Linked DNA regions of Canis lupus familiaris. The protein of the gene in region 1 binds, or shares a complex with, the protein of each later gene. Links are inferred from orthologs where the notes say so. Each region holds a gene or a part of one and is shown on either strand. Other genes may lie near its edges.

Region 1 (7,155 bases):
TGTTCCAATAAGACTTTACTCATAGACAGCAGCCTGACCTTGGCACACAGGCCATTGTCTGCCCCGTCCTGATGTGTGGTCTGGAGCACAGGCCCTTCAGTTAGATTGCCTGGGTTTGAATCCCCTCTCTACCAATTAGTAGCCTGGGCAAGTTTCAGTGTGTCTGTACATCTCCGTACAACATCTTCACCTAAAAATTAAGGACAAAGATAGTGGCCTCCCTCTAGAGGTTTTTTGTGCATTAAATGAGGTAACGCAAGTCTCATTTAAAGCATTTAAAACAGTACCTGGCACATACAAAAGCTCCATCAATGTCAGTTATTCTTTTATGAACTGTTCTACTACCATGAGGCCCAGACTCACAGAAATAAAAAGGCTCTTCAAGATCATCTTGCAGCAGGCTCATTTTACAGATAGGAAAACTGAGCCTCAATGAAGGGAAGATCACACAGTACCTCAGGCAGAGCTCAGGAACTCAGTTCTCCAGACTCTCGGCCCAGAGCTCATTCCTCACCTGCTGCTGAGCCATGATTACATTACGACAACCAAGAACCAGTAATAAGTTTTTCTGGAAATGTATCTTTGGAACAACAAAAGCACCTTCAAAAATCAGGGAACCAACCTAGGGTTTTCAATTTTTTATTTTCTCAAGATGAAATTATTAAAAGAAAAAACTCAAAAGCAAGAAAATTCCACTGTCATCATCAAAGAGAAGCTGCTTAAAACAAACAAAAAAAACAAAGAGAAGCTGTTTAAGGGTCAAAAGGTACAGGGGAGATCATCTGAGTTATTTAAAATATATAGTATTTAAATATATAAACTTAACTTTTTAATTTTTTTAAAGATTTTATTTATTCATTAGACACACAGAGAGACAGAGGCAGAGACACAGGCAGAACGAGAAGCAGGCTCCATGCAGGAAGCCCGATGTGGGACTCGATCCCAGGACTCCAGGATCATGCCCTGGGCCGAAGGCAGGCGCTAAACAACTGAGCCACCCAGGGATCCCCTAAACTTAACTTTTTTAAAAAAAGATTTAAAGAGCACACGTGAATGGAAGAGCAGAGAGAGAGAGACAGATACAGATAAGACAAGAGAAGAACCCTTGCTGAGTGTGGAGTCCAACTTGGGGCTTGATCTCACTACTCTGAGATCATGACCTGAGCCGAAATCAAGAGTCGGATGCTTTATCGCCTAAACCGCTCATAAATTTAACTTCACGTATAAAAGCTCACTCGGCATCAACCATCACTTGCACTGGCACCAACTCGCGGGCTAGCGCCTGGGCCCCACTGGTGATGATCACAATCAGCATAGCCCTGGGGACACAGGCCTGCTCCGGTTCAAAGCCCAACCTTAAGGCCTCACCACCCTCTGCTCAGCCACGGGCTCCAAGCACTCAGAGGCCACCTCGTTCTCCCTTGAATGCCACCCACAGCCTTGGGACAAGAGGCTGGAAAGCCCAAATATTTTCAAGAGAACACTGGCTCGTTCATGTTCAGATCCTGAAAAGACATATGCCCTCACCGACTGACACCCCTAAAGGTCTCCTTCATGTCTGACTACTGTTGAGCTCTGCCATCACAGCCCCAGATGCTCCATCCACCCAAGAGGGGAGGATACCTGTTCTCTTCAATCATCTTCAGTATTTCCTCTGATGAGACATTCCTGAAAGCTTCAGATGGGCTCTGAAGAGCTTCATACTCCGCAGTGGACAGAACTAGTTAAACAGGTCAAGAATATAATCTGATCCAAAGAAAAACATCTAACCAGCTATCTCATCTCAGAGCGGCTCCATATTCGAGATGGGAAAGTTGAGGCCAATAGTACACTGGGGCTGAGCGCAGGGACACGGTTTTCCAGACTCCCAGCCCAGAGCCCATTCCCTGCCAGGCCTTTTCTGCTTCCATGGCTCATCACAAAGCCACTGCAGGCATTCTCCCTCTGACCAGACCCATGAGTAGGGAAATTCTATGCTCCACCTTTTACAGATCAGTCTGCTCCAGACTTAGGGCTGACTTAAAAATCTTATTTTGACTACTCATAGCAAGTGACCTCCATAGGGCTGAACTTGAGGGTATTTGGCACTTTGCTGAGGAATGGGCTTGACCCTCAGCCAGTAAGGAAGCCCAGGTAACTTCCCAGCAAAAGGGCCAGGGCAAGGGCGAAGATCTGGATGTAGCTTCTCTGAGCATCATGGGACCACCAACAGCCTCAGAAAGCCTGTCTGTCCACTCATGTATGCACATCCCAACTTGGGAAGTAAGGCAGTGTTTCTACTGCAACAAGGATACGGTCTTCAAATTTATATACGTCTTCAGGCTTGGCTGCATCAGCGTGGCAGGGAGGAAGGTAGAGGGAGTCATCCTGCAGATCATCATGGATGGCATCGTTGACCAGAGCTTTTTGATAAAGGAAGAGACAGTGTTAGTATCATCCTGTGTGGCTTCAGGTTCCCCAATACTCTGAAACTTGTGCGCTCAAGGTTGTAATTGGTCCAAAAAATCCTAATCTGAATGCTTCTGCCAATGTGGCCTGAACTCTCCATCAGGCTGGCTGCTGGGTCTGGGCTGATGTCCACTCATAACACAAACCTAACCAGGCACTGGAGAAGGCTCACACAGTGAGGGCCCTCTCAAGTAACTCGCACAACAGTTCAGAGGACAGGTGTGCTAATAAATATTTACAGTGCAAGAGAAGCCAAAAGTCAGGAAGAGAGCTTTTAATGGCTTCACTTCTGGAAAACTTCCCCATATATTACGAGTAAAAATCAGAATATAGGGACACCCGGGTGGCTCAGCGGTTGAGCATCTGCCTTTGGCTCAGGGCATGATCCCGGGATCTGGGATCGAGTCCCACATCAGGCTCCCTGCGTGAAGCCTGCTTTTCTCTCTGCCTGTGTCTCTGCCTCTCTCTGTGTGTCTCTCATGAATAAATAAATAAAATCTTTAAAAAGGAAATAGTTTGTAAAAAAAAATCAGAATATAAAACTGTGAACTACAAGAATAACCATGTAAGATTAAGAACTTATATAGACAAGGACAAAGAGGAATACAGGAACATTCTAATAGTTGGTCTGGTAAAATGATAGGGAATGAATGAATTATTTATCTTTTTTTAATTAGGATTTTAAAAACCAATTTATTTTATTTATTTGAGAGAGAGACTGAGTGCCAGTGGGGAGAGGAGCAGAGGGAGAGAACCCCAAGCTGACTCCCCACTGAGTGTGGAGCCCCACTCAGGGCTTAAACTCATGACCCCCTAAGATCATGCATGACCTGAGCCAAAATAATGAGTTGGGTGCTTAACCAACTGAGCCACCCAGGCACTTCTTTTTCTTTTCCTTTTAAATGTCCTTTGACAGCTGAGAATTAAACTAAACAAAAATATTCAAAAATTTACTTACACTTTCAAATAAACAGAGAAACATATTTCTATATTCCAGGATAAAAAAAACCCATAATATTGTAAAGATGTTGATTCTCTCCATATTCATCTCAATTGAGGGAATTTGATGAAATAATTCTTAAGATCACCTGGGGGAAAAGGCATGCTATTCTAACCAACGTTTGTGAAAAATAAGGAGGGAAGGAGAAGAGGAGGAATTTGCCGCATCAGAAATAGAAGCAGGAAGATGAGGGTACTGCAATCAAAAGAGCCTGGTGTTCCCGCAGGAACAGAATGGACAGTTGGACAGAACACAGAATGTGCTAAAGTGAGAAGGATAGCTTTTTAAATCATCTTCTACAAAGAAAAGGATGGAGTTGGGGCAGCTGGCTAATCCTTTGGAAAATATAAGGTCTTTACCATATGGCAAAAAAGTATCTTCATTAAAATTTATATGTAAAAAGTAAAATTGTAAAAATACGGAGAGAAAACATAAGAAAATATTTATATAATCATAGGGTTTGGAAAGATTTTTCTAAAAATTACTAAAATCCCATCTTATTTATTTTTTCTTAGGTAGGCTCCATGCCCAGCAAGGAGCCCAATGTGGGGCTTGAACTCACGACCCTGAGACCAAGACCTGAGATAGACAGACGCTTAACCAACAAGCCACTCAAACACCCCTAAAATCCCCCCCTTTTTTTTAAAAGATCTTATTTATTCATGAGAGACACAGAGAGAAAGAGAGGCAGAGATACAGGTAGAGGGAGAAGCAGGCTCCACGCAAGGAGCCCGATGTGGGACTTGATCCTGGGACCCCAGGATCACGCCCTGAGCCAAAGGCAGGTGCTCAACCACTGAGCTACTCAGGCATCCCCTAAAACCTCATTTTAATAGAAAGGCTGCTCTTATGTAAACTTTCTCTTATGTTCTCATAATGCTTTTGAACAAATACACTTTTAAACAATACAATTAAACACTCAAGCTACTGATGAATTTAGGAACAGAAAAAGGTCCACTGATCCCAGAGTGAAGCACTATCTGTAAAGGCTCACTTCATCGTATCAGTCTTTTTGTCCAAAACTTTCCTGTGATTCCCAGACACTGAGGCTTTCTCCCTTCGCACCCTGGCACTCAGGACACAGTGTAAACATACCCGTTCCCATGCCCGTCTCCTCCGCTTGACTGTGAGCTCCCTGAGGGCAGATGTTTCTTACTATTTCCAAAGTCTGTTCCCAAGAAGGTGCTCAGTGAGAGTGAGGAAGGAACCCAGCCCTAACACACCCTTATTTCCATCTGTGGAGCAGGTAAGAGATCTCAAGAGACAAGGAAGCTGTCTCAATGAGCAGACTCTTACTCCAAGTCCCAGCTGCTTACCAGTTACACCCTTCGCATCAATAATATTCTCTGCAGCTTTAGCTACTGCACAGTTCAGAGATTCACTGCCAACTGTGTTCATTCTTCTGGAGTTCAAAGCCCGCTTCTGTTTGGTGGTTCCAAAGGCTTCAATGCAAGAATCCATCTGTGCATAGACAAATTTGGTTTGTGTAGGGACAGTCTGGGCACTACTACTCCTAGCTGTGTGACCATGCGGAAACTCAGCCTTTCTAGGCCAGGATTACCTCACCTATAAATCAGGCTAAATCATACCTCTCTATCTCACAGGCTGGTGTATTAGCAGATCTGAAGTACCTGCTTTGGCTAATTTTTTTTTTTAATTTTTATTTATTTATGATAGGCACACAGTGAGAGAGAGAGGCAGAGACACAGGCAGAGGGAGAAGCAGGCTCCATGCACCGGGAGCCCGACGTGGGACTCGATCCCGGATCTCCAGGATCGCGCCCTGGGCCAAAGGCAGGCACCAAACCGCTACGCCACCCAGGGATCCCTGAAGTACTTGCTTTGGAAACTGTCATGGGCTCTTTACAAATCAACAGTGTCTCCATTTGTACAGTGAAAAGCCTGGATCAGAATGAGGATTGGTAAATCTGGCACATAACTTACCATTTTCCAGCCTTACACCCATAGCAGATGTTGCTAATCACTCACTCTTTCCCACTGAGCCTGAAGACAGCCTCACACCTTCTCAATACAGTGCTCCAGGCAGCACTGAAGACTCAATCAATTTGCAATCCTGGAGTGAGATTAGCTTTATAGGAACCACCTACGCTGAAAATCCTGAAGTTTACTCTGTTTTAATGTGAAAGCTTCCAGGCTACAGCCAGAATTTTCTGAAACTTGCATTCAATCCAAAAACAAGTGTTACACTACACCTATGTCAGCCCAGAGAATCAGTTCCAAACACTGGGATGGAGCTGAGTATAGCTGCCCCAGGCGGGAGGACGGCGCTCTGTGAAGCTGAGAAGCCTCCACAGGCAGGCTGACTGGAGAACCACAGACAGAATGAGCTGGGAGCAGCCCTGTGCTCAGTCAGCTCATTTTCCTGATGGAGAAGCACAAGGCACAGAAGGAACGTGAGGCAGGTCCCATGTCTCACTTCTGTCATTCTTACCTTTTCTCTAAAAGTTTTGGCCTGACTCTCTTGTGTCAAGTCGCTCTCAAGTGATTCATCTATCAAGACACAAAACAAAAATAGGAAAAAAGGAAGCTGTAAGGCCCAGATTATAATAGCATTTAATATTTATTCACTGTTAATCTAAGACAGACAGATTTCTTTACTGTAGGACTTCCCAGAGTTTAACATGATGGATCCTATGAATATTTAGTCTGTCGCTTTAGTATACAGTTGGAGGATATGGAGAAGAAATTAAGGAGTCAAATGAAGGGGTCATCTGGTCCAACCTCTTCATTTTACAAATAAGGAAAAAGCCTCCCAACGAAATGATTTGTCCTAAGTCAGTTCACCAGGCAGTGGCCGAGATGGGATTAGAAACCAAGTCCTCGGCTCTTTGCAGTAAATAGTTTTGCCCGCCTTATAAAAGATAAGCAAGCATAAATGTAAGGTATGTGTTACTTACATGAAGCTCTCTTATCTCCCATAAAGTATTCATATAAGGGCAGTATAATCTAGAGGGTAGGAGTATAAGCTCTAGAGTGGCCTTGTCTGAGTTTCAATCCCAGGTCATATAGATAGATAAAGACGGATAAAGGAAATTTATATTTTTATATATACACATTATAATTATATATAAAGGTGTGTGTATATATATATATACACACACACACACACACATCAACATTATGTCCCTGTCAAACTCTGTACCAGTTTCGTCATCGATAGAACCACCAGAGGGTTGTCACATGAATTATGACAATCCTCGTGCATTAAAAGTACTTAGAACAGTGCCTGACAAATAGTTAAGGACTCAATAAATGCTGCATGTGTGTGTACGTGTATATATATGTTGGCTAGAATAAACTAGTATTTACACATTTTTTACCTGTAAAAACAAAAATTTGAGAACAATTTCCTTTGCCTCCTTGGAAGTCAGAAGAGCACTTGGAGGATTATTTATTTATTTTAAAGATTTTATTTATTTATTCATGGGAAACAGAGAGAGAGAGGGAGAGGGAGGGGGAGGCAGAGACAGAGACAGAGGCAGAGGCAGAGGGAGAAGCAGGTTCCCTGCAGGAAGCCCGTGGGACTCGATCTGGGTCCAGGATCACGCCCTGGGCTGAAGGCAGCAGCTAAACTCCCTGAGCCACCCCGGCTGCCCTGGAGGATAATTTAAATGTAGATGTATTTGTTCGCAAAGCAAGGAGTCCTTAACCTACAGACTCTGGACCCCTAGGAGAGTCGCAGATGGG
Region 2 (7,155 bases), on another chromosome or scaffold:
GTCTGTCTCTTTCTTCATTGTGGCATCTGTAACATCAGCTAGCTCTCTGTTATCACTCTCCACTTCATAGGACTCTGGGTCTTTCTTCTTCTTTTTTTTCTTGAGAGGTTTTTCAATAATTTCTTCAGTGCTAGTTACTGTTATTTCTTCAGGAACTGCAGAGCACTTGGTTTGTAAACTAAATTGACAGTTGAAAAAATTTACAGAGCAATAAACAAAAAATAAAATGAGAAAGACTATCCCAATTTTTTTCTAAAAAAATGACAGCAGTACAAAATACAGAAGTATGGCATAAATTTGAAATATTCTATCCTGTTATCTCTCACCCATTAAAATGTCTGGGAAAGGTTAAAATTTTTCCAAAGTACTTCTTCCACACTGTTTTCACACATAAAAAAATGACATAAATTTTATCAAAATGTAGCTTCTAAATTTTGGTTTGGTTCAGAAAAAATTGGTGACAATAAACATCACAATACCCAGGCTTATTAGCTAAACTGATGAGTGATAAAATATATACTTCCATTATCTATGAAACTAATGGAGTTTCCTTCTACTCTCACAATCCTTGTTTCATTTTTTTCCCTTACCCTTGCTTGAAGCAATAATACCTTCAAAGCTATGAGTTAACACTAAAATAAAAATAGTTATCAGTGGAACTCTGGAACTGCAAAGTCCTATACAGTAATAATATCTACATATAAATAATTTCAACAAGATAACTTCGATATCACAGATGCTGCACATGTTTCTATCATTGCAGAAAGTTCTACTGCACAACTGCTCTAAAACTGTAACCCATACTCTTGTTAATTATCAAGGTAAAATCTAAAAAAGGAATTAACACCAGCAGTATTCCCAAAGCCTTTTTCTTTCCCCCTACACTCCATTAAACTTGGCTTCCATGGAAACAAACTCAAGATGAGAGTAATTCTTAGAATAATTTCAATATCAAAAGATACAGAACTTACCTACCTGGCATAATAACAATAATCAAATTTGTGTTTCAACTGTGAAAATGCTAACAATTAACTAGAAAAATTAATTTTAGTTAAAAATTAACTAGAAAATACTCAGTAAGACTGAGTTTTAGTAAAATACAGAACAGTTAGCTAGATGTGTAGAGATTTAGAATATTCAATGCATTGTCTTAACACTTTAGATTCCTATTTGCACTGACTTTATGGTTTGGAAGCATGAATACCCTAATAATTTTTTTTTTTTTTTTAAGAGGGACTTATGTTCTCTAAATTGAGAATTAAACAAATGACTAAATATCAAAATTAAAATAATGTGATTAGGAACTGACCTAGTGATATTCAACTTTCCCCGAATGCAGAATACTCCAGCAGCATCTGAGTCCAAACGAAATACTTCAAATTCTAGTTCATCACCTACATTTATCTCCAGGATCTGCCACTGCTCAGTAGACATCTGCTCAGGTTTAGGAATGGAGGCATTGAAACACCCATGTACTAAACAGCCAATGTGGCTGGATGACACTTTATTAACTATACCCTGGGAAGAAAGAGAAAAAAAAAAACTGTAACATCAAGAAATCCAGAGTTAAAAGGTAAATAAAACTTTATAAGCCTCAAGTTGATCTTCAAAAAAAAAAAAAAACATCAAAATATGGTATAATTTGACATGGAAAAAATTTTTTTGATTGAAATTTACATATTATACTAAACCATCATTTTAAAACACTGTAGAGATTTGAGAAAAGTTCAACTTTACTAAGTAATTGCATATCAATTGCCTAACTGGATAAACAACTATTCTTCTCACTCCCCCCCCCCCCCCCCCCCCCAATAAAAACAACTCCTTTGCTCCTACTACAGGATTCCCTGGTGAGTAGAGTATAACCATAATGAAACCAAGCAGAAAATACTCTTTGATATAACCTAAATGTGAAATGTAGATCTTGAGCATGGCTATTTTGACTGAATCACAAAGCATTTTGGGAAGCTTTAAAAAGTATGTGCTATATGATTTTAAGCTTAAAATATGAAAGTTTCAAAAAAAAAAAAAAAGCCTTAGTTTTCTTTTCTTTCCCTACAAATCAATGTATATAATGTATATAAATTAACATCTGAAACGTTTAAGTCATTTATTTTAAACTTTAAACAAAACTGTATACATGTTAGTGTTGCAACTCCTTATACACAAAAAATTCATTGGCTGTCATTATTAGGAGTCTGGTGTTCCCAATGGTACATTCTGGGTGGTATGGACAAACTGCACTGCATCTATACAATGAGTACTAATCAGCAATAAAAAAATAACTATCAAGCCATGAAAAGACATGGAGGAACCTTAAATGCATACTGCTAAGTGAAAGAAGGCAAGCTGAAAGGCTACATACAATATGATTCCAACTATATGACATTCTGGAGAGGGTAAACCATAGAGACCAGACAGTAAAAAGATCAATAGTTGCCAGGATTCAGGAGGATGGAAGGAAGGTGAGGGGTGAATAGGTAAAATAGAGAATTCTGAGAGCAGTACCCAATTATTCTACAGGATACAGTAAAGGGAACACAGGACACAGGTCATTAAGTTGTACTTACATTCCCTGGGTTTTAGAATGTACAACAGGAAAAACTAATTCTAAACCCTAAAAATAATAATGTATCAATATCAGCTTAAGAACTGTAACAAATGTTATCACACTAATGCAAGATGTCAACAATAGGAGCAACTGTGTTTGTGTATGCTGGGGTGGAGAAGTGAACAGAGGTATTATTTTCTACTCATTTTTTCTGTAAATCTAAAACTGCTATAAAACAATAAAGCCTATCAATTAAGGAAATAATAGGAAAACGAACATCTTTTCAATACAGGGTTCTAGAACTACTGAATAACCATATGAATAAGAAAATATATCTCAAGGATCTACTTCATATTACACACAAAGATTAAAGACTTATCACAGATCTAAATAACAAAGCTAAAACTAAAAAATTCTAGAAGCTTATAAAAAGTATCTTCACAATCCAGCAGTAGGCAAGTTTCTTACGTAGGATCCCAAAAGCAACAACCAAAAAAATAAGACAAACTGATCATCAATATTAAAAACTTCTGTTTATGAAATGATACCATTAAAAAGAGACAAGTTTACCAACTGGAGTAAAATATTAACAAATGATCTGAAAAGGATCTGTAGGAAGGCTACAAACAGAACTACTATACTTCAATAATACAAAAACCCAATTAAAAATGAGTAAAGCACTTAAATAGGCCCCTTACTGAAACACATGAAAAAGAGCTCTAGAGAAATGCAAATTAAAACCGTGATGGGAAACTCGTATATGCCCATCAGTAAAATTAGAAGAGTGACAAAACCAAATGCTGGCAAGGATGCAAAGCAAGTTATAGTGCTGAATGGGAAATTTGCCTGTTTTTCATAAAGTTAAACACATCTACTCTGTGACCTAGCATTCCACTTTTAGTTTTTACCTAGGAGAAATGAAAATGTACATTCACAGCTTTATTCATAATAGCTCCATAATGGAAACAGCCCAAATGTCTATCGATGAAGACAGGCAATTAAATTATACATTCATGCAACTGAATACGACGAACAACAAAAAGAAACCATTACAACAAACAGCATGCATGAAATGCAAAAAAAAAAAAAAAAAAAAAAAAAACATGTTGAGCAAAAGAGGTCAGATTTTCAAACACTGTATAATGAAAAATTCCATTAACATGAAATTTTAGAATAAACAAAACTACTTTCACAATAAATGTAATCAGAACAGTGGTTGTATTCTGGAATGGAGAGAGGACTGACCAGGAAAGGGCATAAGCATCTTTCTGAAATAGAACAGAATACATGCTCTCACCAGAATTTATTGAACTGTACACTATGATCTGTGCGTTCTGTTGTATGTAAATTAGATCTCATTTTATTGTATGTAAATTATACTTCATATTAAAAAAAACTGAACACACTGTCCAAATGTATTTGAAGACTGGATCTTATTGTAGGGAATAGAGTAAAAGGATTGATTTCTTTTTTCATTTCATATTTTCTGTATAGTGTGGTACTTCCATGTATACATTTACAGTAACTTATACAAAAATTCCTACACTTAACTGTTACCAGCTTTAAGTACAAATCTATTGCCAACTTTAGAAGTATAGAGGCTGGTTGTAGGATCCCAGCTGGTCATGCCCAGGATGCTCTACCAGTTTAACTGATTCTGAAAAGCTTTTTTAAATTATTAATGCCTTACAGATTTGACAGTAAAATTTTACCTGTGTTTTTATTAGCAATAAAGGGTTAGTTAACAGTTCTTAAATGATTATGCAATTCCTACATAATTTTTTGTTAAAGGAAAAAATAGACACGTGTATATATATTCTTATGTATATATATATCAATGTATACATGCAGAACTGGTAGGAGAGGCTAGTGCAGAACATATGAGGATATACTTCAGCTTCTTTTGAAAAACTAAAAGACCTATCCCACAGGGCCTTTATCATATGGCGCGTTATGGGTGCTCTAACCTCATTCTTCATTCACTTTCATTACCTGCCTGGTCCTGCAACCATTTGAATTTTCAACTCCTATTTGATATAAAGGATTCGAACAGGGTAGTAGTATGAAGGAACTATTGTGTATAACTGAGAAATTATGAAATAAAATTTTTTTCTTACTGCCTAAGATCATTCTGATGCTATCCAAAGAAAAGAATAAATTCTATTAGACACATTATCTGCATACACATGTGAGTTTGAGAAGAATGGAATTTAAAAATTTACCAAGATTAAATGGACAGTAATTTTTTTTCTTTTAAAAATAATTTTCAGGAAACCACAACAGCAATCCATTTGCTTCCCAAATCTCTTAAGATTTTCCAAATTACATAATTATACAATTAGAGAAAGCATAAAAAAGTGTGTGTATAAATACATACCATAAGCTTTTTCCCTGGTTCAGGACAGAAAATAACAAAATCTGCTTCGATGTTAAGATGAATGTGTCCTTGATCATCATAAATATCTCCCAGTTCACCCACTACTTTGATGTTATCATATGCAATGGGGACACCTGAAAGGCTATTAGAAAAGAAAGAAATTTATTTTTATCTTCTTTTAAACTAGGCCATAATTATTAAATATTCAGAGTCCAAAAATTATATGCCTCTTAAATATACTCACGCATGCCAAAACACAATAGCATATGATTAATCCATAACAACTTGAGTAATTCAATTTCACCAAAAGGTTCCAATATATTGACTAAATAAAAGACTGTTCAAGACAGGTACCCAGAAACAAAATGTCCAATTATACATGAGCAGTAGGTTGACCTATTAGAATTCTAGTCATGCTAGAATGTGGGGGTGGGGGTGGGGGGGAGACTTGAATGAAAAATGTCTCTGAGTATAACCAAATCAAGACAATTTTGGTATTATCTACCATTACTGAATTTCTGTACTGGATGGCCTATAGTAAGAGAATTACCAGAATCACAGGTCAAGCCCCTGAATATTAAAGCCAATGACTTAGAGAAAAATCCTCAAACTCCATCTGTATGTAACAAATAGTAATGTTAATAAATGAAATATATAGTTATAATTATTAAGAACCCATTTTGCCACTTTAGTCTACATAGGGGACAGGATTAGGGAGCAACTACTATTTGAAAATGTCATTTCCAAGTACTTAACAAATTTTAACTACTAAGGAGGCAGACCTGGTGGCTTCACTACCACACCTACTACTTGATCAAGAAAACGTCCTAGACTCAGCAAGGCAAGGATGAAATCACTCCTCCTCCACTCTTAGAAGATTCCATGGCACAGCATCATCACTGAACTTAATCTCATTTTATGAACTATCTGCAAATATGTTTGCATTCCACACACTACTAGAGTAGTGGCCCTTCAGAGCCCAGCACATTTTTGTTGAACTCTACTAAATTTCTAAAACTATTCACATGGCATAAGAGAAAGAATTTATCCCTAATAGCTGCTGCTTAAATAAAACAGCCAGGAGCCACTGGAAAGGAACTTTAATAACTATCAAATCAAAAAGACCAAAAACTCAAGAGATTTATTCCAGAAAGCATTTTTTTGAACTGTTAGTGTCTGCTTGTGTTTTCCCAAGCAGGAACTACACCATCACAGAAAATCAAGAAGTCTACATGACCTCTGAGGGAACAAACTGATTTATAAACAGATGTACACAGAATCTAATTTTACTGTATACACACACACTTTATATTTGTGTGTGTGTGCGCGCATATATATATATATATATATATATATATATGCACACACACATATATCAGTGTACAGGCATGTTTCCACGGTTTCAATATACATTAAAATTTCCAGGAATGTAGTAGCAAATTCAAGAGTAGTAGGGAATTTTACTGAGAACTGCTCATCACTTCAGAAAAGCATTTCACCGATGGAGATAATGTATGTCTTCTCTAAGTTGTCAACTCAAAACCCCTGCATCAATCCACCCTTATATAATGGAGACATTCACAATTCTTGTGTCAGTGCAGAAGTCATCAAAGTACTTCAACTATTCCTAGGTAGTCATGCTTAAGCATTATCACATTGAAATATAATTTATTGTATTGTGTAGGAGCACTTACAAATTCTTTTTTCAATTATGTAGGTAAGTTGTGTTACCTTTAAGTTTCAATTCACAGTAAAGATGTACTTTCGTGATAGTAAAGATAGTATTGCAAAATATTTACTCTAAGAGATGTATTGGGTTCTGTAGGGTTCAAAATTGATAATTAGGGAATGTGACCATAGAGCCTAAACCCAAAAGGATTTGTGTAAATCCATTAAACCTTTGAGAAACCCTTCACTAGACATCTCAATTTTTTCCTAAATAAAATACCAAAAATATTGATTACTACACATAAATTTATCTACTTTTGTCTTATTAAAGAGAAATTAAAGATAAATTTAGATCTGTTCATAAACATGTTTTATCCTTACTGAAAGATCATACCATAGAGGAGGACAGACCTTGGGAGGAAAGAACACTGGGGGCAGAGAGGGAAGAGAAGACCTAGCCCCCAGTACCCCGGGTTGGGGGACTGCAGTTAAAAGACAAATCCCCATAACATTTGGCTTTGAAAACCAGAGGGCTTCTCCAGTTTTGTTAACAATCAAC

The links.
Region 2: POLR1E (region 1) and POLR1F share a complex: the UniProt entries of both Homo sapiens proteins name them as parts of the RNA polymerase I (Pol I) complex. The link is inferred for Canis lupus familiaris from reciprocal best matches to the Homo sapiens genes POLR1E and POLR1F.

Annotation. Positions count from the first base shown.
Region 1 is NC_049232.1:54,131,130-54,138,284, reverse strand, and holds part of POLR1E (DNA-directed RNA polymerase I subunit RPA49), read right to left. Parts: intron 5,959-7,155; coding exon 5,900-5,958; intron 4,910-5,899; coding exon 4,765-4,909; intron 2,403-4,764; coding exon 2,295-2,402; intron 1,721-2,294; coding exon 1,624-1,720; intron 1-1,623. UniProt on the Homo sapiens protein: Component of RNA polymerase I (Pol I), a DNA-dependent RNA polymerase which synthesizes ribosomal RNA precursors using the four ribonucleoside triphosphates as substrates.
Region 2 is NC_049235.1:33,895,734-33,902,888, forward strand, and holds part of POLR1F (DNA-directed RNA polymerase I subunit RPA43), read right to left. Parts: intron 5,071-7,155; coding exon 4,929-5,070; intron 1,519-4,928; coding exon 1,310-1,518; intron 179-1,309; coding exon 1-178. UniProt on the Homo sapiens protein: Component of RNA polymerase I (Pol I), a DNA-dependent RNA polymerase which synthesizes ribosomal RNA precursors using the four ribonucleoside triphosphates as substrates.